7 linked regions of the Nothobranchius furzeri genome follow. The protein of the gene in region 7 purifies or fractionates together with the protein of the main gene of each other region. This does not show direct contact. Links are inferred from orthologs where the notes say so. Each region holds a gene or a part of one and is shown on either strand. Other genes may lie near its edges.

What was found.
Region 1: the proteins of yap1 (region 7) and fbxw7 purify together in Homo sapiens (affinity purification with western blotting; 4 studies listed by BioGRID). This does not show direct contact. The link is inferred for Nothobranchius furzeri from reciprocal best matches to the Homo sapiens genes YAP1 and FBXW7.
Region 2: the proteins of yap1 (region 7) and rpl18 purify together in Homo sapiens (affinity purification with mass spectrometry, with the first as the bait; 4 studies listed by BioGRID). This does not show direct contact. The link is inferred for Nothobranchius furzeri from reciprocal best matches to the Homo sapiens genes YAP1 and RPL18.
Region 3: the proteins of yap1 (region 7) and arrdc1b purify together in Homo sapiens (affinity purification with mass spectrometry; 3 studies listed by BioGRID and IntAct, counting the BioPlex papers as one, with this or other methods). This does not show direct contact. The link is inferred for Nothobranchius furzeri from reciprocal best matches to the Homo sapiens genes YAP1 and ARRDC1.
Region 4: the proteins of yap1 (region 7) and lin7c purify together in Homo sapiens (affinity purification with mass spectrometry; 5 studies listed by BioGRID and IntAct, with this or other methods). This does not show direct contact. The link is inferred for Nothobranchius furzeri from reciprocal best matches to the Homo sapiens genes YAP1 and LIN7C.
Region 5: the proteins of yap1 (region 7) and ppp1caa purify together in Homo sapiens (affinity purification with mass spectrometry; 5 studies listed by BioGRID and IntAct, with this or other methods). This does not show direct contact. The link is inferred for Nothobranchius furzeri from reciprocal best matches to the Homo sapiens genes YAP1 and PPP1CA.
Region 6: the proteins of yap1 (region 7) and rapgef2b purify together in Homo sapiens (affinity purification with mass spectrometry; 3 studies listed by BioGRID and IntAct, with this or other methods). This does not show direct contact. The link is inferred for Nothobranchius furzeri from reciprocal best matches to the Homo sapiens genes YAP1 and RAPGEF2.

Annotation. Positions count from the first base shown.
Region 1 is NC_091747.1:80,718,727-80,721,841, reverse strand, and holds part of fbxw7 (F-box/WD repeat-containing protein 7), read left to right. Parts: coding exon 1-100; intron 101-440; coding exon 441-651; intron 652-3,115. UniProt on the Homo sapiens protein: Substrate recognition component of a SCF (SKP1-CUL1-F-box protein) E3 ubiquitin-protein ligase complex which mediates the ubiquitination and subsequent proteasomal degradation of target proteins.
Region 2 is NC_091745.1:76,499,324-76,503,309, reverse strand, and holds the start of rpl18 (large ribosomal subunit protein eL18), read right to left. Parts: upstream 2,801-3,986; 5' UTR 2,788-2,800; intron 1-2,787.
Region 3 is NC_091746.1:74,951,065-74,954,564, reverse strand, and holds part of arrdc1b (arrestin domain-containing protein 1b), read left to right. Parts: intron 1-409; coding exon 410-863; intron 864-1,983; coding exon 1,984-2,048; 3' UTR 2,049-3,500. UniProt on the Homo sapiens protein: Functions as an adapter recruiting ubiquitin-protein ligases to their specific substrates. Through an ubiquitination-dependent mechanism plays for instance a role in the incorporation of SLC11A2 into extracellular vesicles.
Region 4 is NC_091749.1:64,462,198-64,466,322, forward strand, and holds the start of lin7c (protein lin-7 homolog C), read left to right. Parts: upstream 1-1,325; 5' UTR 1,326-1,485; coding exon 1,486-1,522; intron 1,523-3,247; coding exon 3,248-3,366; intron 3,367-3,456; coding exon 3,457-3,528; intron 3,529-3,621; coding exon 3,622-3,831; intron 3,832-4,125. UniProt on the Homo sapiens protein: Plays a role in establishing and maintaining the asymmetric distribution of channels and receptors at the plasma membrane of polarized cells.
Region 5 is NC_091745.1:8,622,297-8,625,254, reverse strand, and holds the end of ppp1caa (protein phosphatase 1, catalytic subunit, alpha isozyme a), read left to right. Parts: intron 1-497; coding exon 498-728; intron 729-814; coding exon 815-919; intron 920-1,002; coding exon 1,003-1,226; intron 1,227-1,657; coding exon 1,658-1,792; intron 1,793-2,007; coding exon 2,008-2,124; 3' UTR 2,125-2,458; downstream 2,459-2,958. UniProt on the Homo sapiens protein: Protein phosphatase that associates with over 200 regulatory proteins to form highly specific holoenzymes which dephosphorylate hundreds of biological targets.
Region 6 is NC_091741.1:75,547,956-75,552,041, reverse strand, and holds the start of rapgef2b (rap guanine nucleotide exchange factor 2), read left to right. Parts: upstream 1-1,286; 5' UTR 1,287-2,112; coding exon 2,113-2,181; intron 2,182-4,086. Other genes in the region: protein SPMIP2, read right to left, coding at 1-13, 604-664. UniProt on the Homo sapiens protein: Functions as a guanine nucleotide exchange factor (GEF), which activates Rap and Ras family of small GTPases by exchanging bound GDP for free GTP in a cAMP-dependent manner.
Region 7 is NC_091753.1:45,044,991-45,048,490, reverse strand, and holds part of yap1 (transcriptional coactivator YAP1), read left to right. Parts: intron 1-438; exon of another isoform or gene 439-589; coding exon of another isoform or gene 590-792; intron 793-1,393; coding exon 1,394-1,512; intron 1,513-2,018; coding exon 2,019-2,132; intron 2,133-3,500. UniProt on the Homo sapiens protein: Transcriptional regulator with dual roles as a coactivator and corepressor. Critical downstream regulatory target in the Hippo signaling pathway, crucial for organ size control and tumor suppression by restricting proliferation and promoting apoptosis.

The sequences.
Region 1 (3,115 bases), on a different chromosome or scaffold from region 7:
CAGCGGTGCCTACGACTTCATGGTCAAAGTTTGGGATCCCGAAACGGAAACCTGCCTCCACACGCTGCAGGGCCACACCAACAGAGTGTACTCCTTACAGGTGAGCCGCCACTGAACCGGCAGTTCTGCTCAGGCTGAGTGGAAGTTGTTTTTTTTTTAGTTTAGGAGTAATTCTATAAAAGAGACAGCCTGCAGTGTGTCCTCTGACCAGGCACGTAGGTTAGAGAGAAGGCCGTTTGCAGCCTGATTGATTGTTTTTGTTCACCTGTTAGATGTTTAAAACGTGTTGTCTTACTGGAGGTGAAGGGACAAAAAGACGAGCCCCACAGATCAATAAAATGAATCCATTTCAATGACTTTAATCTGAAGTTTGTAAGTGGAAGTGCTGCTAACAGCTGCAAGCAACGGCCCCTCTTACAGCTGATCCTTTGTGTCTGCAGTTTGATGGGATTCATGTGGTGAGCGGCTCTCTGGATACGTCCATAAGGGTCTGGGACGTGGAGACGGGGAACTGCATCCACACTCTAACGGGACACCAGTCCCTCACCAGCGGCATGGAGCTGAAAGACAACATCCTCGTCTCAGGCAACGCGGACTCCACGGTCAAGATCTGGGACATCAAGACGGGCCAGTGCCTCCAAACCCTGCAAGGTGAGGTCCCTCTGTGTGCAGCCTCCGTTTGGAGTAATTTCCACTAGACGTGAAACGTATGAAGTTTATTAGCCGTGGGCGGGTGCCTGTCCACCGGCTGCACAGCATCATGGTTTGGACTCGTCCCGGAAGGACAGTGGCGCGTTGCCTATGTTTCAGTTTATTTTTTTACCCAATATGCTTCCAGAAAATGTTAAACTCAGCAGGTGTGATTGGGCCAGACAGGAAGTCAAACACGAAAGCAGTGTAAAACATCCAGAAACTTTCAAAATAAAAGTCACATTCAGACTTTCAGTTGCTTAGCTAGTAAAAAAAAATGTAATTTCCTGTGAAACCTCTGCAGCTGAAGTAAACACAAAAGACGATAAGCCACAGACCTTACTGGATGCATGCAGCCATCTTTCATCTTACCATGTGATTGTTGTGACCTTGTGGGACCTGCTGCGTGGAATAATTCCTCTCCTGATTTGTTTCTGAAAAGCTCCCAGTTGGAAGTTCGCTGACTGGTCCACGCCGCTCGTTTCTGGTAAAAACAAGGGTTAGTCTCTCTGAACTGATTAGCTAGCAGCTAGTCCATCGCAGCCAAAAACGTTTTTTTTCTATCATTTTAAAATGGCTCCACCCTCCTAATCCCAGACTTCCACCGGAAGCAGAAGCATGGTATAACGTCTGCAAAGCTTCGTAGGCAGCTATTAGCCACCATTATTGTTGATGGGTGTGTTTCCCCAGCCTCAGAAGTGTGTTTGATTACGTGGCTGGTCTGTTTTTTACCCGCTGCTCTTCCAGAACACACCAACCTCAGCAGCTCAGACTGGGCCAGACAGGAAATCAAACACGAGATGTGGAAAACATCCGGTAACTTTCAAAATAAAATGCATGTGCATATGCTTAACTAGTAAAAAAAAAACATTACGTGTGACACCTTCATGACCTAGGTAAACACGGCCGAAAACAAAACAGACGTTTCTGCTGCTGCCTTTCTCTTGACTTATCATTGTGCTACAAGCACGCGTGATCTTTGAAAAACAAATCTTATGCTACTCACTAAACTAGCCGTTAGCCCATCAGTCCTGTCAGACAAACTGTTTTTCCTACCAGGACGAAGGCCTCTAACGTGTGTAAGTTGGTATTATTTAAAAGGAAACACACTTTGAAAGATTATTCTGGGAGGATTTCAAAAACTTTAATAACAGCCGTTCTCGTCACCAACACAGGATGATGAATAAAGTTTCTATCAAACCATTTCAGCACGTTCACATTATTACTGTAGTGGCTAACCCTAGCGTGTCATTCTGTCAACATGGATAAAAACGAGGTTTGTGAAACAAACAGAAAAAACACAGAAATACGGATTTTCTGTGTTTGACCTCGTTAGCCTGCTTCCTTGTGTTTAGTCACAAACGTGTGTTCATCATCTCCACCGCCTCTTTTCTGCAGAGGAGCAGCTGCAGTCAGAAACTGACGTTTTCTCCCTGATAAAACAGGTCATTTGCTAAATGAACACCCTAGTCATACATGTCTCTTCTTGTTCATCATGAGTGACGCTGGGCGTGATGCACCCTCATCACGCTTCGGCGTTGGGCCGGAGTCCCGAGCCGTCATCTGGGTTTGTTTGTGTCGTTTAGTAGAACTGAGCCAACACCTCCGCAGCTTCCCTGGTCTGCTTGGAGCCTCATTTCTTTGTGTCTGTTTGAATAGTTGGATCTTCATTACAAGTACTTAGTTTCACAGGAAGTAGGAAGTTCTTTGTTCTATAGAAGTTGCAGCCGCTGGTGCCCCATCCCCAAATACCCTCATTAGCAACCTACAATCCTGTAAGCTGGTTCTTCAAACACCAACGCGCAGCAGAGGATGCCCCAGCGACAGCCTGAAGAGAGCACCATGGATGAGGCGGGGAGGAGGAGGAATGTCAGTGTCGACGACGAGGTCGAGCTGTGAAATGACCCGGGGAACTTTGTAGGTCATATAATTAGGTCAGCGGACGATTTCTGCCACTCATTAGAGCGTTTTGTAAGACAGCAGCGTGACAACAAGGCCGTCGCCGCGATCAGACGAGAGCGGAGGTAGAGATGGAGCTTTGTTTTGAGCCGAGGCTGTTGGGGGTTGGTGCACAGAAGCACGGAGCACTCATCCAGTCAGCAGCAGCAAGGCGACCTTTCAACCTTCCTTCCTGTCTTTTTAAACCAAGAAGACACTGAACCGGTTTTTCTGTTTTCTTGTTTGTATGTAGCGTTAGCTTCGTAATTGCCTACATGTTTACAGGCTGAGACAGTAACAGCTCATCGTACCTGACGTAGGCGGAGCCTTTAGATCCCTGAGACAGCCGCAGCATCAAGCCTGTCTAGAGTCAGGAGACTGTTTAGTTCTCGGCTGAGTTTTTCTGTTCTGCTCTTAAATAAATGCTTCCTACAGCTGCTGGTTTAAGAATCCTTCATAAATCCAGTAGTCAACCAAAACAAGTCAT
Region 2 (3,986 bases), on a different chromosome or scaffold from region 7:
TGTTGTGGGTCCATTGTTTCGTGTCAAACGTTGCCTCCCCTCCCCTCCCCTCCCCTCCCCTCCCCTCCCCTCCCCTCCCCTCCTTAGGTCTCTAGGTTTTGGCTTCGTGTCTGTGAAGGTTCTCAGTCATCCAGGTCATTGTAGTCTAAGGAGCTTTGAAAGAAAAGCGTCTGGACTTCTTTGAGTTGCTTGAAGATGTTTCACCTCTCATCCGAGAGGCTTCTTCAGTTCTAAGGTCAAATGGTGGAGAGTCCCAGATTCAAACCCAGTGGGGGTTTCCCCTCGAAGAGGGAACAAAAGACCCCCTGACGATCTTCTACATAAACACACGAGCCAAGGTGTGAGGGTGGGTGTGGGTCCTATTCAGCCAGAGTTTCGGGTGAGCTCATTGTGAAGCCTGGCCCCATCTTCGTGCCTTTCCAGTTCTCTAGGTCTCCAGGTTTATTGGATTTTGCCTCCTTGGATTTTATTTAGGTTTTTTTCCCGTCTTCCTAATAAAGGAATGTTTTTGTTTACATCTACCCCTGCCTCACGTCGTTCTGGGTATCTGCATTTTGGGTCCTACTCCTCCAACCCTCAACGTGACAGTTTTACTTCCACCCATAAGTTCGTTTGTTGTCCTCCATAATTGTTTGCCATTTTTACTATATTTCTGAAATTCCTTTTGATAGTATTGTTTTTTCTTTTGTCTATTTAACCTCTTACCCTATTCCTTAGTACCCGATAATCTTCCCAGTCGCTCAGCCTTCCCGATGTGACAGCCACCCTTTTCTTTTCATCTCTGATTCTCATACTTTGCTGTATTTCATCATCCAACCACGGGGATCTTTTAAGTCTAACAGATACTTTTTTTTTATTGGCGCATGTGCATCACATACTCCTGCAAATAACTGGTAGAAGTTGTCCAGAGCTAACTCAGGATGTGTGTTGTAGTACCTCTGCCCACTGTATATTGGCCACACCTCTAAAAAAGTCATCTTCAGAGAAAGATTTATACATTTTTCTTCAAATTACCTTTGGCGCCGCCCTTGGAATTTTTGTTTTATAAACCAGGGCAATAACATTACGATCACTAAAACCAACAGGACTGATGTACAGGGAGTGCAGAATTATTAGGCAAATGAGTATTTTGTCCACATCATCCTCTTCATGCATGTTGTCTTACTCCAAGCTGTATAGGCTCGAAAGCCTACTACCAATTAAGCATATTAGGTGATGTTCATCTCTGTAATGAGAAGGGGTGTGGTCTAATGACATCAACACCCTATATCAGGTGTGCATAATTATTAGGCAACTTCCTTTCCTTTGGCTAAATGGGTCAAAAGAAGGACTTGACAGGCTCAGAAAAGTCAAAAGTAGTGAGATATCTTGCAGAGGGATGCAGCAGTCTTAAAATTGCAAAGCTTCTGAAGCGTGGTCATCGAACAATCAAGCGTTTCATTCAAAATAGTCAACAGGGTCGCAAGAAGCGTGTGGACAAACCAAGGCGCAAAATAACTGCCCATGAAGTGAGAAAAGTCAAGCGTGCAGCTGCCAAGATGCCACTTGCCACCAGTTTGGCCATATTTCAGAGCTGCAACATCACTGGAGTGCCCAAAACCACAAGGTGTGCAATACTCAGAGACATGGCCAAGGTAAGAAAGGCTGAAAGACGACCACCACTGAACAAGACACACAAGCTGAAACGTCAAGACTGGGCCAAGAAATATCTCAAGACTGATTTTTCTAAGGTTTTATGGACTGATGAAATGAGAGTGAGTCTTGATGGGCCAGATGGATGGGCCCGTGGCTGGATTGGTAAAGGGCAGAGAGCTCCAGTCCGACTCAGACGCCAGCAAGGTGGAGGTGGAGTACTGGTTTGGGCTGGTATCATCAAAGATGAGCTTGTGGGGCCTTTTCGGGTTGAGGATGGAGTCAAGCTCCACTCCCAGTCCTACTGCCAGTTTCTGGAAGACCCCTTCTTCAAGCAGTGGTACAGGAAGAAGTCTGCATCTTCAAGAAAAACATGATGTTCATGCAGGACAATGCTCCATCACACGCGTCCAAGTACTCCACAGCGTGGCTGGCAAGAAAGGGTATAAAAGAAGAAAAACTAATGACATGGCCTCCTTGTTCACCTGATCTGAACCCCATTGAGAACCTGTGGTCCATCATCAAATGTGAGATTTACAAGGAGGGAAAACGGTACACCTCTCTGAACCGTGTCTGGGAGGCTGTGGTTGCTGCTGCACGCAATGTTGATGGTGAACAGATCAAAACACTGACAGAATCCATGGATGGCAGGCTTTTGAGTGTCCTTGCAAAGAAAGGTGGCTATATTGGTTGCCGATTTGTTTTTGTATGTCAGAAATGTATATTTGGGAATGTGGAGATGTTTAAATTGGTTTCACTGGTAAAAATACATAATTGAAATGGGTATACATTTGTTTTTTGTTAAGTTGCCTAATAATTATGCACAGTAATAGTCACCTGCACACACAGACATCCCCCTAAAATAGCTAAAACTAAAAACAAACTAAAGACTACTTCCAAAAACATTCAGCTTTGATATTAATGAGTTTTTTGGGTTCATTGAGAACATGGTTGTTGTTCAATAATAAAATTATTCCTCAAAAATACAACTTGCCTAATAGTTCTGCACTCCCTGTAATGTTAAAACATTTTTCAGAACAGTTTGCATAAATGTGATCAATACATGTTGAAGTTGTTAATCCATTTGTCTCGGATAGATTTGTCGTAAATCTTCTACATTATATCTATAGCACAGAAAAAAAAGTTAAAACTCACCTCTTAGTGTGTCTAGCGTTAGCCTTTCCTTTCAAATTCCAAAACTACACATTCATTTCTGCACAATTCTCCTGAACGCGGAACAGAGGGACAGGGGTCTTCTCACCGGGTCAAAGTCCTGCCACACTTCTGGAGACTCTCCGCTTTTATCAGCCAGGAAGAAATCTGGGAAAACAGCACGTGTGGAGAATGACTTCAAACAGGACCACTGACTAAAACGCCTCCACCAGAAAAGGCTGACAGCCGCGTTTCCTGTAAACCGCAAATCCTTTTAGTCCCACAGACTAAAGCAGAATTCTATATTTTTATGTCAAACTGTGATCAGGACTTACCACTGAAATCAGTATTAACGTTACAGCCGCGTTTATCTGTAAACTTCAGCCGTCTACTCTGAAGCACATGTGGCGTGGCTATAAATAGATACCGCTCCAGCAGCAGTGGCTCATTATCACAACCTTAAAGAAAGTTTCATTAATCAGAGTAAAAGAAAACTGTGTTTTTATACTTTTAGGAAGGCTTTTTCACGGATTAATTATGTCACCCAGGAATAATTTGTGGCCCACCTTGCTGAGACTATTAATATGTGTAGTGATCAGTCTACATACTAGAACCAACGCTGTTGCTCTTCAGCTGGAGATTCTGAAAATGACCAGTCAGATGAACCTATGAGGCTTAGATCGTGTATAAATATCCAGGATACGTATACAATCTAAGTTCATACACCAACCTGTTTAGTCTAATTTTAATCCAAAGATTGATGTTTATTTAAGATAATTAAATGTGAAACAAAAGTTTATTTTGAATCAGAAGCTAGGAATCTTTCCTTTGCAATAACCAGAAATATTATACCCTTCTGTGTTTCAAATCAATACTGAGGCAAGTTTAAAAATGAAGACATTTTATTACTAACAATTTTAAACTTCAAGATTTGAACGACAATTCATGGATGACAATTTAATGACAATTTTTAACAGCTTTGATTTTAAACTTGTTTTAAAAGCAAACCTGTGGCTGGATGGAAGCTAAATTGGAAATACGAGTTTGGATGCATGAATTGAATTCTCAGAAGATTTCTTTCAGAGAGAGAAAATAAGCGTTCTGGATGGAAATGATGTTTTGCAGCTACCTGAGTTGTCACTTAGAGAAAACAGCATCAAACGTCATCTGTCGAAAGTGTCTACCTCGCCCAGTTTCGGAGA
Region 3 (3,500 bases), on a different chromosome or scaffold from region 7:
AACAGCAGAGAACGTCTCAGCTAGTAGAAGCTAACATTAGTTTTAGCAACTCCACCACACAGCAGAACTCCTCCAGGCTTGTTTGTGGAGGTAAAACATCAACGATGCAGAGCAGAGTCAGTGGTAGACATGTGCTGATGTTAGCCAATCAGAGGAGAGGTGTCCAAATATCAGGAAATAAGACTCTTATACTTTCTCCTCCAGCTGACTTCTCTGTACCACACACACACACACACACACACACACACACACACACACACACACACGCGCACACAGCAGATCTATTAAAAATATGAGTGAAGGGCATTTCCAAAGTTTATATGTTCTAAACAAAATGTGACTTTTCTACCACTTGCTAAAAAATTCTGGTGAATCTTTCTTTCTTCACGAGTCTCTGTTTATTTTCCAGGTGTCTCTAAAATCTCCGGAAGCAGCCGTCACTCTGCCCATCGTCATCGGGAACATCCCTTTGAACTTGTCCCCCTCCGTGCCTGTCCCCACCAGTCCAGGGCCCTCACTGGTACCCGGCCCTGCAGCGGCGACACCGAGTGCTCCGCCAGTGGAGGACGGCCCAGAAGACGAACTGTGCGCGGGGGGGTTTGCTAACGAAGAGATCCCCACCAAAAGTCACTCCCAGCAGGACCCGCTGATGCAGCCGGTCACCATGTCTCCCAGCGCCTTCAGCCACGCGCCGGGAGCAGCGCTGCCGCCCGGCCACAGGCGACCCGAAACTTCCGCTCCGTTGTTCTGCCTGTCCACAGGAGCGACGATACCTTTCTTCACGGAGGGAAATGTGACTCCAATCCCCACCTCCTGTTCTCTCATTCTCCCTCCAGAATACAGCTGCTGTGACTATCCCCAAGGTAAGAAAACCCAACAAGCCTCTGCTCAAAGAGGTACTGGCAGTTTCCCCCAGAAAACGAGTTAAGCCCGGCGGATTCGGCCGTCGTCGGGGGCGGTCACGTCACGCGCTCCGTCCCACAGCGCTCCTCCGTTAGAGCGGGGGTGAGGTGGTTGCACACGTTCCGCTCTTGTTTCTCACCAGTATCAGCTGATGGAGGGCTCTAGTTTCGATGCGCCGTTGGTGTCAGCGGACACGGTAGGGTCGGGGAGGGGGGCGGGGCATGACGTTTAGCCTGGCGGGTGGCCAAGCAAAGCCTGACTGGGTTAGTAAAATCTAAACTTCAGGGTGTTTAGGATCAAATCTCTTCAAATATTTATCTCCTTTGGTGTGTTAAAGCTCAGTTTCCCTCCGCTTACCGTCAGCAGCTGCTTTAAGCGTCAGTCCACCTAAGTGGTCAAACGCGTTTCACGCTCATTCAACGTTTTATTCAAATCTGTAAACTAATCTGAGAATTTAATCCTGATGCCTGTGCTGTCGACCTGTTGGGAGGCGAAGAGGAAGCAGCCTCTTTGTGTGTGTGTGTGTGTGTGTGTGTGTGTGTGTGTGTGTGTGTGTGTGTGTGTGTGTGTGTGTGTGTGTGTGTGTGTGTGTGTGTGTGTGTGTGTGTGTGTGTGTGTGTGTGTGTTTGTGTGTGTAAACAAGCTAACTAACACACTCAGAGAAACAAACCGTTTTTATTTCCTACATTATCACAACAACAGTTACATTACAGGTAGAGGCTCTGTAGGAGCGTTAGCGGTGGTTGTCATGGTGATATAATTCATGAAGGATCTGAATGCGTCGACGGTCGTAGCATCGTTATGTTCTGTCTAACACAGGAACAGAGAGTGTGTTTCCGCCCGGACCGTTTTAGATGTGACACCGATGGCTTTAGCGTGTTTTCCTGATTCCTGCTGCTGCTCGCCTTCCCGGCCAGTTTCAGAAACCGGATTTTAATAGAAATGTAAGTCAGATTAAAGGGATGTGAAGTTTGATGTTTAGAAACAGCTTTTCACCAGGTAGCCAAACAGGCGCACACACCTCTACGTCCAAAACCACGTCAGTAATGTTGTTGACATCACGTCCTTCTGTTGTTGCAGAGCCGCCTCCCACCTACGAGGAGAGCTGCAGTAGTGTGAACTCCAGTTTTACTGCTGGACAGTAGAAGAAGCAGGCGGTCGACCATCGTGGCCACGAACACCCTCACATCTGCCTGCCCCCCCTCCACAAACTAGATCCGGATGCTGGATGGAGGAGGACGGATGACGACTCCACCCTGCGAGCGGCGTAAAGCTCTTCTCTGATGAATAAAGGGATTTTTCTTATTTGAATAGGTTAGGTTTCACCTGGCTAGCGTCAGACGTGTGGCCAACATCACTGTGCCTACTGTGGGTCCTCGCTCAGCGCTTAGGGATGTGTAGGAGGTTGCTGGATGTTTGTTTGGTTTCATTTAGCAGCTCGTTGCATCTGTGAGGCCTTTAGATAAAAATCTAGCCACTGATTAATGTAGAAGACACCTTTATTTACCTGATTCACCTGTTGGTCTGGGGTCCTCACGCTAGGTGGACATGCAGCTACAGGTGCTGATTCTTCTGCCCAGCTGGAGTCATGTGACCTGTCCAATAGCAGGATGATGCAGAAAGTATCCGGTCGAACCGGAAAAGGAGCCTGAATCTTCTGGTCTGGAAGAGGATTCAGTGGTTGTGACATGGTGGTCTTTAAAATCAGGAGTTGCTGGTAAAATGCTCTAAACCGTTAAGCGTTTTGTGATTCTTTTCTGTCCCAGCAGTCAGACTTTTTATGCATCAACCGTTATCCGTTTTTTAAATAATAGTTTTCCATGAGCTTTGGCTGTTTTTCACTCGTTTTCAGCCCGGACCTGACAACGTTCCAGCACAAGTTTGTCTTTTTATCTGTAAGGATTGTTTTTGTCTAAGGAAACAAGTCGCTCCAGTTTCTTAGTCGTATTCATGAGAAGTACCATCAATATCGCAGTCAGACAGAAAATAGGATTTTAGCTTCAGTGAGGTTATTTTTGGCAAGGCAACTTTATTTATACAGTATAGCACATTTCACACACAAAGGCTTTTCAATCGGAGCAAGAATATTCAAATTCACACGACAGAAAATCCATCCATCCATTTTCATCCGCTTATCCGGAGTCGGGTTGCGGGGGCAGCAGACTAAGTCGAGAGGCCCAGACTTCCCTCTCCCCAGCCACTCGGGCCAGCTCCTCCGGGGGAATCCCAAGGCGTTCCCTGGCCAGGTGAGAGACATAGTCCCTCCACCGTGTCCTGGGTCTACCTTTAGGCCTCCTCCCGGTTGGACGTGTCTGGAAAACCTCACCAGGGAGGCATACTGACCAGATGCCTGAGCCACCTCAACTGGCTCCTCTCGATGTGGAGGAGCAGCGGGTCTACTCCGAGCCCCTCCCAGATGACGGAGCTTCTCACCCTATCTCTTAAGGGAGAGCCCAGCCACCCTGTGGAGAAAACTCATTTTGGCCACTTGTATCCGTGATCTCGTTCTTTCGGTCACTACCCAAAGCTCATGACCATAGGTGAGGGTAGGAACGTAGATCCACCGGTAAATCGAGAGCTTCACCTTCTGACTCAGC
Region 4 (4,125 bases), on a different chromosome or scaffold from region 7:
ACTAACGAGGACGCTGCAACTTTCTGAGATCTGCCGAACGAAGAAAAATAAACTCTGCCTTGATGGACCCACCAGTGACAGCAGTTGGAATTCTGTGAGGTATCTTTGTTTTGCTTTGTTTGAAGCACAATTTAAACTACTTAGACTCAAAGAGAGACGACAAGCATGCAGTAGATCCTTAAATGTGCTGCTGTCGTAAACATCAAACAACGGGCTTCTTTTCAAGGCCACAATGCAGCTGCAGGAAAAAAAACTGCCCTGCTCTTCAAAGAAATTCCACCTTAAGTTGGAGTTGAAGCCGTTTTGCCCTAGTCAAGTACTAACGTATCCTCTGCATAAAAAAATACAATGAATCAAACAGGGAAGCTTGCTCCATAAAGTATGTGCTCCAGTTTCTCTGAACAGAGACCTTGGGCCATTTTCGTTGCACTCTGCAAGCAAGAAGACGTCTAATTATAGATTTAATGTGAGCATCAAAAGAGCTTAGAGACAATACATGAATACTGTGGCATTTATTTGACCCAGGTTTGTCCCTGATGAATGAAAACAAGCAAATCAGAGCATCTGTTGTCCAATAAAGGAAATTACTGATGCAGCACAGTGTTGGAGATCCAGTCGTACGTCACAGCAGGGTTCCGTTTTTCACCACCAGCTTTTCAAGGTAAATTGTTTGTGTTTCATCACCAGCTGGGGTGGGGTCAGAAATGAATCATCCTGCAAAGTTTCAGCCCACAGAGAGCAGCTGTTTTCTGCTGATTTATGAACCAGAGCCTCTAGAAGAGCTGCAGCAAACCAGAGGAGGGCACTAAAGAGGCTGCTCCTCCCATCAGCTTTCCTGGATACCATCCAGAACATTCATTCAAGCTTCCTAACAAGGTTCCTGGTGTCCAGACACTGACAGGGTGCAATCTGATGAAGACTGGAAAAACTGAGTTTGATGAGCTGAAATTATTATTTGCTATTAAGAAAGTGAAAAATATCAATAAAAATGTTGCTTTGGTTACTCATCATCATCTCATTCATATTTCTATAAAGCTAAATCAAACCTAGAAACCTAATCTTGAACTAAAAGTATTCAGAATGACACTAAACTTCTAAAATGAAGTTTTCTGTTCCAGATTTAGTTACAGAAGTAACTGCTACAAAATTTGTGATTTTGTTGCTGCGTCTGATCTCTTAAAATTTCACATCAATACAAATAAACAAGATAAGAAATACGCAGAATTCAATCTGTCATTTATAATTACCTAAAAATGTCAACAGAATGCTTTGTCCACCGAGTAATCAGCTTTACTAGGGTCCCTGAACGCACCATGACACTGGCAGCTAGCCTAGCCGAGCTAACTTAGCTAATCTGATTTATCGTGCCAGTTAAGCGTACGAAACGGTCGGCTGGATTTACGAATTTAGTTTTTTTTTTTTTTTTTTTGTATATTTCTTGTATCGCAGTATCTATTTAATACCAGATAGCCTCTCATTTCGAGAATGGCATCTCTGGGGGAACCTGTGCGACTGGAAAGAGGTAATGTTAATTAGCTAGCTAGCTTTATTTGTTGTGAACGAGAGACGTTTACCCAGTTTAGCTCTAGTTGTTTGAATCAAACTGGGAGTTGTTTTTTGGTACATATTTTGACATTTGCTTGTCATAAATGTATATATCTGATATTGCCCGTAGAGCTGCGTTTTACTTGACCAAGCTAAACGAAGCATACCTTAGCGGTATTTGTTTAATTCGCTCACTAGCTAAGTAGCTAATAACAGCAGCGATTGACCAGCCCAGTCAGTATGTTGGGAAATAAATGCGAGGTATAATATTGTCATTAAAGCAGTAAAGGCACGTTTTGCTTCTCAGAAATTACACGTCGAACATGACGCAAATTGCATTTGTTAAAGTGAAATAAGCTGTAATTGTCACATCTGTGTAAAAACAAGTGAAAGTATCAGTCCGACTTTCATTGTGAGCCAGCTCTGGTCACAAACATCAAAGAAAAACTAAGAAATCTTTAATCGGAGCTTGTTTACTGAGTGCTTTTTGAAATCGATTTTAAATATATTTCTGAATTGAACTGGGAGCTCATGAAGAGATATTTGTAATGCAAACTTTATTTCTGCCAGTATCCTGCTACATATCTTAATTTTTTGATATTTTGAAAAATTGCAGGTTGTTTTTAATCACTTAGAAACCGTTGAAAGTAGGTGATGTGTATTTTAGCCTTAAATGTACTCGTCTCTAGTGGCTTTAAAAGTGTTCAAATGATCAAATCTGTTGTGGGAACTCGTTTCTCTTCCATTTATGCCGATTATCACTTGTTAGTCGCTTTGGACAAAAGCGTCTGCTAAATACATAAACAAACATTTAGTTAATAAATGTCAGGAATCTGATCATTTAACATCGGTCTGTGCCGCTCAATCGAGATGACTTTAAATGTGCATTATGTAGAAATTAAGTAAAAATGACATCCTTTGGTAAAATTTGGTTACGTCAACCACATTAAAAAACTCTGGAGCTTTTTGCCGGCCGTCGTCAAATTACAGTTGTCTGCGCTGCAGTGTTAGCTCGCAGGAGACACGACAACCCAACTCACTGATGGTAAACAATAACTATGTCCCTCCTTCCTTTGTTTTGAAAAAAGAAAAAAACTGATAATCCCTGCAGCCAGCTGGAAATGAAATATGTTTCAGTAGAACTTTCCTCGCAAAATGACCAAAACATGACTCATTTGGGATTTTCTCGCTGTAAAATTCTCACTATATTTCCACATACTGCACCTTTAATAATACATAATGAGTGTGATTGATAAACAAGTTTTGGCCTTCCTGTGCAGTAGGGGGTGCTGTTTATATTTTACAGTCATTTATTTCACATGTAATTTTTTACTGGTTGATATAAAAACCCTCTGAACTATTTAAAATTTTCTTAAAAATTTTTACCCAGCAGATGTTCTCTTTTTTTATTTTTCAACACCATTCAGGATTTTGAATCTGCTTCATTTCACTTATGCAGATCACTTCTTTCAGAACAAACCCAATGGAAGTCTTAGAATATTTAAAGACATGTCCAGTAAAAGACAAGAATATAAATCAAATAGTCCTTTTACGTAGATTTATCGAGCACCTTTTCTGCTTTTACTTTTAAGACTTGAGTGCTGGCATCAATACAGGCAAATTTAATGCTCATTTTAATCTTTTATAGTGGTTTGTTTTGGACTGTGTGTAAGCTGTGATGGCATTATGCTCTCTTTGATAGATATCAATCGTGCAATTGAGCTGCTTGATAAGCTGCAGAGAACAGGGGAAGTGCCTCCGCAGAAGCTGCAGGCGCTGCAGCGAGTCCTACAGAGTGAATTCTGTAACGCTGTCAGAGAGGTGAGACTCTTCATTCCAACTCTAAACTCCACAGATTTTTCTTCCTCCTTGTTATAAAGTTCTGTTCGTTTGGTGCTTTTTCCCCCTCAGGTTTATGAGCATGTGTATGAAACGGTAGACATCAACAGCAGTCCTGAGGTCAGAGCCAACGCCACAGCTAAAGTAAAGCTCATACACAAGAAATCTCCTCCGTCTCAAAACTACTTTATGCATCAATTGTTGTACATTTTTAAAGAGTTTGTTTTATTTTCAAAGGCTACTGTGGCAGCTTTTGCAGCAAGTGAAGGACACTCCCATCCTCGTGTTGTGGAACTGCCCAAGACAGAAGAAGGTCTGGGTTTCAATATAATGGGCGGAAAGGAGCAAAACTCGCCTATTTACATCTCGCGGATCATCCCAGGAGGCATCGCTGACCGACATGGAGGCCTGAAAAGAGGCGACCAGCTTCTCTCTGTTAATGGGGTGGTACGTGCAGCTCAGAGAATCATTATTAGGTCAAGAATTGTAAATTTGAATCTTAATATGAAGCACGTATCAGGTTTTAGAGCATGTTGCTTTTTTGGGGAGGGATAATCCATGCATCTTCAGAAATTTCTGCATACAGAAAAGCCCAAACGACTGACTTTTAGTGTTAGAAGTTTTTTTAATATTCTGGTTTTTAAAGGGCTACGTGTTCATAATCCTGTGATCACTCATAAGCAGGTATAAAGTCTGAGTCCGATTACATCTCCATTAGTTAGCTTGATGAGGAGGACGAGG
Region 5 (2,958 bases), on a different chromosome or scaffold from region 7:
TCCTGGGTTTACACAATGGCTGCCTTTTGTTTGGGTTTCAGCATATTACACATCCTACCATTTGTCATAGTATTTGTCACCTAAAGTCCTCTGGAGCAACTCGAAGCCCAAACTCTGCTTGATCAGACAACCACAATGTAGGTTATCACACCCAAAGTTCACAGCTAATCTGGCGACAAGGACAAGTTCGTCTTGCACAACACGTCCATTAATGACCTTATTATTAAAGCTTTAAAATAGTTTTATTGTGTGAACTTCATCAGCTTTTCTTTTCATAATTGTCTAAATAGCAAGTCGATCAATTACAATACAAAAACCAAAAGAATATTTTAGGGAGATTATATCACTAAGACTCTAAATTATCTTTTTCTATTAATAAAAGGAATGAGAGTTTCAGAATTGGTACGGTCCACTTAAAGGCTGGCTAGTTAAAAATAGGATTCTTCCTCATAAATGACAGTAACGCTGACATGGTGTTTCTTTGCTGCCCCCTGCAGGTGATGTCCATGGTCAGTACTATGATCTCCTCCGGCTCTTTGAATACGGAGGCTTCCCTCCTGAAAGCAACTACCTGTTCCTGGGGGACTACGTGGACAGAGGGAAGCAGTCCCTGGAGACCATCTGTCTGCTTCTAGCTTATAAGATCAAATACCCAGAGAACTTTTTCCTGCTGCGTGGCAATCACGAGTGCGCCTCTATTAATCGAATCTATGGTTTTTATGATGAGTGTAAGTGCAAAAGATGTCTGTGAATAATGAACAAGTCAGAGTTGGTTGTACAAATGCTGCAAATGTTTCTTTTTCTTTGCTGGTAGGTAAGCGACGGTATAACATAAAGCTGTGGAAGACCTTCACAGACTGCTTCAACTGTTTACCTGTGGCTGCCATTGTAGATGAGAAAATCTTCTGCTGTCACGGAGGTAGAGCTAGTGAACGTGTGCTTTACGGATGATGAAATATGAACGACTAACAAAACCTGATGTTCTCTCTGCGTCGTCTTTAGGCCTCTCTCCGGACCTCCAGTCCATGGAGCAGATCCGCAGAGTAATGCGACCCACAGACGTGCCTGACCAGGGTTTGTTGTGTGACCTGCTGTGGGCAGATCCAGACAAAGACGTCCTGGGTTGGGGCGAAAACGACCGTGGCGTCTCCTTCACATTCGGAGCAGATGTGGTGGCCAAATTTTTGCACAAACATGACATGGACCTAATATGCAGGGCGCACCAGGTGATGTTTGAGTGGTTTTGTGTAACTCGCCAGGAAAGCTCTGCTCCTGTTAACTTTGATCTCTGCTTGTTGTGGGGGTGTTATTGGGACATGAGTCAACACGCTGTGATATTGCGTCATCTATGTAAATTTAATCCTTTGAGGACTCTAGTGGCTTCTTCATTCTTCTAGCACTGATTCATTCGGACTTGAGTCACTTTTATGTTCCTCGTGTTTTTACTGGGATGCACCCTTCACAGGGGCACACAAAGGTTACGTACGGTAGTTCCTAATTTAGCTCAAGTACAACTGTAATGTAAGAACTGCAACTCAAACATTTCACAAACGTGTCGGGGAGGAAAATCTTTTTCCCTGATTATGTTTAATCGTTCTCACCTGGACCTGAGAAACCCTACTAGTCTTTGTTCTGACACTTTTATTTCTGTGCTAAGGTCGTGGAAGATGGTTATGAGTTTTTCGCAAAGAGGCAACTCGTCACTCTGTTCTCAGCGCCCAACTACTGTGGAGAGTTTGACAATGCTGGTGCCATGATGAGTGTGGACGAGACGCTCATGTGCTCCTTTCAGGTGGGTAAACACACGGCCTGTTTGTTACTGCTCCATGTAGCTTAGCTGAGTGATCTTCGTATCATTTGTGTGTGTGTGTGTGTGTGTGTTTCCTAGCTCCTTGTCAAACGGATGTTTAACATATTGAACTTGACAAATATTCAAATTGGGACTTTAAATTAGAAGAAATTGTGTTTGCCATTTTAATGTGGATCATTCCTTCATCTGTCTTGCAGATTCTGAAGCCAGCAGATAAGAAATTGTATTCTTTCGGAGGAGGAGGAGGAGTGGGATTAGGAAGACCGGTCACTCCTCCAAGAAATTCAGCCAAGGCCGCTAAGGCCAAGAAATAACACCTGCTGAGTTCCCTTCCTACAACCTTTTCACCCTCTGTTGGCCCAACTTTCTTTTTCTTTTTCTACCTCCTAATCTTGTTTCTCTTAGTTACCGAATGGCAACAAAGACGACCAGTGTCCAATGTTCATTCGTGTGTTATATATATTTTGTTTGTTTCTAAAACAAAGTTCAAACGTTTATCTGGTTATTTACGTGTGTGTGTGAGAGGGAGATGTGAGAACGACACAAAGGGAGTTGCTGTATTCTGTACGTTTTATTTCCCTTCCTCTTGGTCTTTCTGTTGGTTGCAGAGACGGGTTTGTCCCACTCATCATGTAAATCCTAGCCTGGCTGCAGGGGTGGGAGAGCACAGCGCTGACTGATTATGTTAAGGCCAGGCACTGTTCAGCATTACTTTCATGCTTTTGTAAATCATGTTTCACGTATTCATTTATGTCTTTGATGGGTGTGTGTGTGTGTGTGTGTGTGTGGGGAGATCATAGATCAGGTTGCACAGCTGGAAGGTAACGGCACAGGTGGATCTATAGAAGTGCAGGTTAATGCTCGAGTTTGATGAATTCACAATAAGATGACTTATTTTTTTTTCCTTCTTCCAACTTGAAAATCGTTTGAGATGACATGGATGTGATGTAGAGTTGCTCTTTTCTTCAACCTAATTTTTGTTTTATTTTTGTAGATAACTGAAATGAGTATGGTTTTATTTTCCTCTTTCTTTTTTTTAGTTTATTTGAAGCTGAAGATGAATAAAAAGTAACCATTTATTTGAATACGCCATCATGCTTATCACTTTGTTATATCTGTCGCTCAGTGGTTGGTTTCTGTTGTGGTTT
Region 6 (4,086 bases), on a different chromosome or scaffold from region 7:
ACTCCATCTGGACCTGGATGGATGTTTTAAAAAGGTATAACAACCTGAATAACCTATACCTAAATTAAACCTAGAGTGCACAATTAAAAATAATAAATAATGAAAGTAAAGTCATTAGTTACAAATGAAATTCACAACTGTGTTTCACTGATTTAAACGATCTTTTAATGATTATCTGCAGGCTACATGGACATTTTAATTTGGATTTAGATGGTGTCAGCAGGTGGTGTCAGTAAGCATCATACCGAGTGTTACTGCTGGTATCCTGGATGAAATCTTAAACCAGTGGCTGTTTCACCTTTCAGTCAGTTCCTACATTTAGACTCAGTCCCAAAATATGTTTCACTAGAATGACCCTTAAGGTACAAACCTGGATTTTCTCACATTATTTCATTTTACATTATGAGAATAATAATAAATAAATTTATTTTTTTTCCTATTTTTAATTCAGTTTAAATTATTTAGGCATAGTTGAACACAAAACACAATATTATCATTTTAGAGGTAAATAAAAAAAACAATTAATTTGAAATATTGAAAGCAACTTGCTATGAATGTTTGGAATATTCTGAGGTAGACCAAACACATTTTATGTGAACTTACCTGTAAAAATCATCCTTTGTCCATACTGCGACCTCTCTTGAGCTGTTTTAGTGTTTTGCATTGTTTTTACTCTATTCCAACTGAATTATTCCAGGTTAGAAACAAAATTCTGGCCCCTTACCGACTTACAACAGGAATCCATCTGATTGTTCTGCCGATGGGGTCATGCCTGGTTGTATAACAACCACCTGTTGCCATGGGAACACTAGACCAAGTTACATTGTTTTAATAAGAAATACTTCACATGCTGAACCATCACCAGTATTTTGTCTTCACAAAATATGTAATTATCTAAAATAATATCTAATGAGAAATGACTTTATTTCATTCATTTTCTCATTTATATAATTTGTGCATTTTTTGAGACTCCTCAGGGCAAACCCGCTGCCTTTGCTTTCATTGAGATAAACAGTTACCTATTTAGTCGCTTGGTGGCACCATAGACTGTACATATACCAAAGCATAATGTATGCCACACGACAGCTCTTCGTTCTTTGTCGGATGGACTCGTCCAGTATGAGCCTCCTATGACTACATCTTTGTCAAGTTAAAAAAATATCACAACAGGAAGTGCAACCGCTTCACCACCAGACAAAAAGAATTTCGACATATGGTACAAAACAAGCGTGCTCAAATATTCTTGTACTCAGCTAATTGAATGTTTTTCTTTTTTTTTTGTCTTTTACCGTAATATGAAAAACAAGGTATTAGTCACATTTTTTACACCGTTATGCTCTTTCTCTGCATGAGAACCTATGAAATGATCTGATAATAACGTGGGGAGGGGACGATTTTAAGCCACACAACATGCCTCCTGTCTTTTATTTTGAAACGTTGCACAGGAAGTGCTGTTGCTACTTTGTTCCGATTTGGTAATGATGTCTGTCACCATGGTGGTGGCTTACAACAGAACACGGCAACGGCGGTCAATGTATCCCCACTTTTAGGTTAATTGAAGCGTCAGTATTATGAGTTTTATCACTGTGTTGAATATAACATTTATTTTTACCACGGACGCCATGTTGTTGTTGACGGGATAGCTTTTAGCCTTTAGCTTACTTTTTGTTTTTGCCGGATCCTTTATGGAATTTCTTTCCGTCGCTAGCAGAATGCTGAAGAGAAAAGGAACGGCTTTACCTAGCGCTGGCTTGGATAAAGAGACGCCAGCTTTGTACGGTTAGAAAAACAACTCAAAGGAGCAGTCAGAGCCTCGCGTCTAAAGGAAGTTTTCTCGCCCAGCTGGACTGATTTTGGAAGCCGTTTTTTGGTTCGGGACAGTGAAGGGACGGACACTCCCGAGGAGCCTGCTTGGGCTCTGGCTCCAGTCGTGGCCTGGCTCCGGGCACTCCCAGCTTCATCCTCGAGCTCCGGAGCACAGCCGACAAGAGTAGAGAAAGCCCCAAAAGTGGGCTTGTTTGTGCATAAATCCACCTCTGTTTTTCTGTAAACGTTTTTTTTTTCCCCAAGGATAAGGAACTGAGTATATCTCTTTCGGCGTCTTTCAAAACAATGGCGTCTTATGTGGATAACCGCTTTCGGCAGGCTGTAATGATGAATCCGGCTGAAAGGACGCAACAGGTCAGTACAATGATGTATTTCTATTTGTTACTGATGCAATCGGTGCTTAGAAGTACTTGTTCCTGCTGTGTTAGTCAGTCTGTTGCTACAATGCAAACATTCGGGATACTTCACCGCTCTGATCAGCAACAGTTTAACTATTTATGTGTGCAACTGTTGCCAGGTTCCTGTTAACGTACGGAAACGTCCCGTAAAAAAATAGTTCATCATATGAGATAATCGTGGCTACTTAGCATAACAGGAGCTGCAACCATCATGGGAGCCTCGCCAGACGGACCTGTACGGTTTTTACATGGCTGCATCTCTGGAACTTTGGGGCCCCCTCCTTTTACATAACGGTGTCTAATAATAAACGAAAAGAAAGATTTCTTGGGAGCAGTCATTGATGCTGGTCCGAACGTTACAGATCCTGATTAAAACAGACGTCAGCGCACAAACCTGAATGTGTGGCAATTACAAATGAGCAGAAAAACCCAACTTCTTTGTTGCATTCTGCAGCTAAAACAGTTTGCTGCTCTCCGATTCCGCTGTGCAACTCCCCTTTTCAGTCCCTTGCTAATTCTGTGGGCTGCTGCTTTTAGTCGTTATGCAACAAATTGTATTTCTCAAAATATGCTCGTTTCTGGTTTGCATCTTTGGTTAAGCAATTTGTAAAAATGACATCCTTTCTTTTCAGCCTAGTTCCTGCTGCAAATGGATGTTGCTTCAGCAAAAGCTTTACATTAGACAACAGAATATACCCATAAACCTGTGGGCTACAGCTAGATGCAAAAATCGTGCACGTTTGACAGTTATGCTTGTCAACAGCTTTTATTCTGGCTACAACTCTGTCATAATTGAGGAAAAAAGTCATAAAGAGGTTCATGAATTTGTAATTTTTTAATTGATTGTGATACCATTACAAATAGAAATATATTTTTCCCGAATGAAAAATTAATTGTTTATTGTTCTAACATACAAACTGAGTTATATTGTTTTTGCACCCTATCTATATTGATTTAGCTTTCATTACTAAGGCAGGCTTTGGTGCATTAACATCTTAATTTGTCAAAAAGATATGAGAAGTTTTTGAAATTTCTCAGCTTGAACAATTTTAAGTTTATAACATATCAAAACTGATATTTTGTAACATTTAATGAATGAAACTTCAAAGCAAAAAATAAATAAGAATTAAATTGACAAATAAACAAAAAAAAAAACTAGCACCAAAAGTACAGCTTTTACAGTAAGCAACATATTTAGTCTGCAACTGTCATGGTATTGTAACTGATGTGACTGAATCACTATATTGGTATTTGGTTGTAATTTTCATTGACAACATAGTGTGCTATTCATGTGTGGAGTGACTGCAGGGACTCAAACAGATTTACCCTAATGGTGTTGGCAGGACCTCTCTGTCAGGATTAGTTAACAGACTCAAGGATCCGTCTTTATCTCAGGACTCGCCACAGTGAGGCTTGACCCTCTGCATCATGCTGTTGTCACATGGCAGGTTAAATAATTGACCACTTGACAGTTTGTGTTTTCACTGTCTATCAGTTTCCTTTGTGCAATTTTAGATTGTAAGTAGATGTTTTAGTCATACCAATGAGGCAGGATCACAAAACAGAAATAGGAGAATTACAAGCAAAGCCCTGCTGCACTTTATGTTTGCAATGGTGATATAGATCAAGATAACATGGCAGTTTGATAACTTTTTTCATGTGCAGCATTAATTAATTTTTGCACAAATTAAAGCTTTCTGTCCAATGAAGGAGTCAGATTTAGACATATGGTCAGGCTCTCAGTGGTGCGTTTTTGTCGTCTTGATTAGTCAAAGTACCTTCCATTAATACTACGCTCTTTACTTATTAAAAATAAGAAGTGCATGCTTTGCTCAGCAGGATGGACCGTTGCTGTCTGCTG
Region 7 (3,500 bases):
CATAACGCACAGACTTTTGATTATCGTTGCCTCTGTTTTGAACTTTGGGTTTGTTTATCTTTTTTTGACGAATTGGACAACACAAAGTTGGCGTCTAAACAACAGCATTTGGTAGAACGTGATGTTCTACTTTTTCTTTTTTTTTCCATCACTGTTGATTCCTGTTTGGTGTCCTGTATTGTGCTGGCCCTTTATTTTGAAGGTACCCTCTGATTTTCCACCCCCCCCCCCCCCCCCCAAATAACGCAAAAAGATCCCTTCTATCTCTAATAATTGTCAGGTCTTACAGAGGAATGAGGGGCAGAGGGTGACTGTAGCAGGGCCACAGAAACTCTTGTAGCTTGTGCAAATCTATAGAACTGGTTTTCCTTTTCTGTAGTCGTTCATTCTGCTCCACGTGACCTCGCTTTCTTGAAAGGCCACCTTCAGTTGGAGCCGATCCAGCCTTTTTTTTTTCTTGCGTGGTTTGTGGTGTTTTTGTGTGTGTGAGAGAGGGAGAGGGAGGAGTTGGTGGTTCTGGGGGAGGGTTTGGTAAGGGATTTGGCAGCTCCTTTGATCAATAAAGCATAAACAAGCGGGGGGCTTCAGAATGGGTTTCATTGTGTCAGGGGGAGGAGTGCTGAGTCAGGCCCACTCGCTCTCTGGCCTGGGATCGAGAGCAGACAGGCGGGCTGGGATTACCGAACGGGCCAAGGGAAACTTACTGAATCTCTCGCTTCATCCAGCTGTTCCAAAATCTGCTCTAATGGCATTTTGGGATCAAATTAACACCAAGCTGTTAAAAGAAACACAGTGAGTTTTTGTTGATCACTAAAGGGAATATTTCATGGCATAATAAATAAACTCTTTTGTCTCTTAAGTCTCTTTACTACAATTAAAAAGTGGCTTTGCGCAGACGAGCTGCTGGAGTTTGGTGCCTTTTAGGGAGAGATGGTGTGTGTGTGTGCGTGTGTGTGTGTTCTAAATAGGATGGTTAAAAAAAAGGGAATAGCTAGGTTTTAGGTCGTAGCTCAGTCTGCGCCTTTGTCAAGCAGGTGAAAGCTTTGTAAATGTGGCGCCAGATTGTTAAAGCCCCTGACACTCCGCAGTGTCCGAGCCGCTTCCAGGAAAAGGGACCCCCTGCGTTGAGCCCTGGGACTGACCCTCCCTCAATAGAGGGGGACCTGCCTGGGAGAGGAGGGCTTCCTGTATTAGCTTTCCATCTTAATCAAGAAACAAGTGCCAACAAAGCAGTAATTATCAATGCCTTGGGAGTGCACACAATGCCCCTACCCCACCCCTGCCCTGTCCCCTCTATGCGGAGATGGTCAGAAAAAAGATGAAGTAACATTGTTGGATGTGACCATAGATTAAGGTGTTTTAAAGTATATTTTGCCATCTGCTCTTGTTGCAGCCACATTGATAAAACGACCACTTGGCAGGATCCCCGCAAGCCCTTGCTCCAGATGAACCAGACTTCTCCTCCAAGTTCTGTTCCAGTCCCGCAGCAGACTCTCATGAACCCAACCAGTGGTATGTGCAAAAATCAGCTAGCTAGAATCGTGAAGTTTTTACTTAAATTTTGCTTTAATGGAGGAAAAACTCAGTCTAGTTCTTACTTGTCACTAATGTGCACAACTTGGAATTTGGAATTTGCCCCAGGTGAGGTAAGACCGAGGCAGGACGCGTCCTTCTGTTAGTTTGGAAGCTCTGTGACTCAGATCAGTTTAACAGATGACGTCATTCTCTTTGTCTCTAGTTGATACCGCTCAACCTGTTAGCTTGTTGGTAAATAATAAAAAAAAAAATCTCAGATGCTGACGAGCTTGTTTGTCAGGGACAGATAACGGTGATTCACTCAAAGACGATTAAATAAACCTGATTTAATCTCTGTTTGTGCACACATTTGATAACGCTGCTTCGTATTCTTCTCAATGTTCGTTGGTGTACTTTGTGAAACAATATCAGTAAAGAGAAATTCCTGCATTCAGCCAACTTCCAGTACTTGTTCAATGTTATTTTTCCCTGTTATCCCTCAGGACCCCTCCCTGAAGGCTGGGAACAAGCCATAACACCAGAGGGAGAAATTTACTACATCAACCACAAGAACAAAACCACATCCTGGCTTGACCCACGACTCGAGCCACGCTATGGTAAGCTGGCTGCAGACGGGAATCTTTTGGTTTCATCTCTTTTTATTTTTTATTTCTCAACTAAAGTAAAATACATCTGCTCCGTCTTCAGAAGAGGAACTTCTTACACAAAATCTGATGATTCTGAAGCTTTTATTAGACTCTTGCATACTACACCATCTGGTCCATTACCTTTTTTTATTAAGACAAGTGCAAATTTTCAATTGCTTAACCATGTAACCGTTACGTCTGTGACAGTGACTGAATGGCGAATTTTCCGTCATCTTTTGAGGAGAGCATCGGTGTGTTTTTCAGGACAAAAGATTAGACTTTTTTTTTCTTGGCAGCAAAGAATCACAACATTATAAATGACGCCGCACCTCCTTTTTACCATAATACCAGTTGGTAACTGTCAGTGTCTCCATCTATTGTTGTTATAGAGATGGATGGATGTCTAATGTGATCTTGCAATGCAGCTGCCACTGCCGCGGCATGCTGTTCATGCACCCGGTGGAACTCAGTCGCCTGTTCTTTATAGTCGTTCCCAGTGGTGATGCTAGGGGGCGCTATAGCTACCCCTGGATTAGTCATTGCACCCCCAAGTAAATATTAGATTATTTTTTTTACAATTTAATTTTAATTTAACGTGTGGATGTGATCATATTTAACATACAAAACAAAAATAATCAGTAAATTATCATATAGATAGTAAAAACTTCAACCAAAACAGGAAATTGATGTTAACCTTTGACCTCATTTTCCACCTGCGAACGAGTGAAAGGTAGAGCTAGTGGTAAAATGGATCGGTTTTTGTTGCCCACATTTCCACGGGTTCAGTCAGAAACGAATGAATGTTTGGAAGTGATCTCAGACCCACAAAAACCTACGGATCTGGATGGAGTCAACCCTCAACCGCCGCAGCAGTCGAGGGTTTTGCCGCTGGAAATGCTAACACTAACGTTAGCTAACCTTGCAACACTATAGATGGTTTTCTGTGTGGCTGTTTGTGTTTATGATTTCATGGAAAAGTCAGCGATTGTTCATATGTTTATGATGTTTATTAATGATTGTTTCAGGTGTTGTTGAGGTTTTGTGCACGCATGTGTATCTGCTAGTGTTGAAGGTGTTTTAGAGAACAATAGGTACGCACGACCACTTCCTTCATAGCACCCTCAATAAAAAGACTAGCTCCTTCATAGCATCTGCAGAAAAAAATTTCTGGAGGCACCACTGGTCGTTCCCCCTAACCTAGGCTTTCCACCGGTTGCGTAATGAAATGGCTGCATTGTCCACATGACCCCAGCCGTCCAATCATATCCCACTGGGAGCGTTTCAGATTCAAATCTGCAATGAAAGTGTTCCAACTGGACGAGGCCAGCCTGGTGAGCC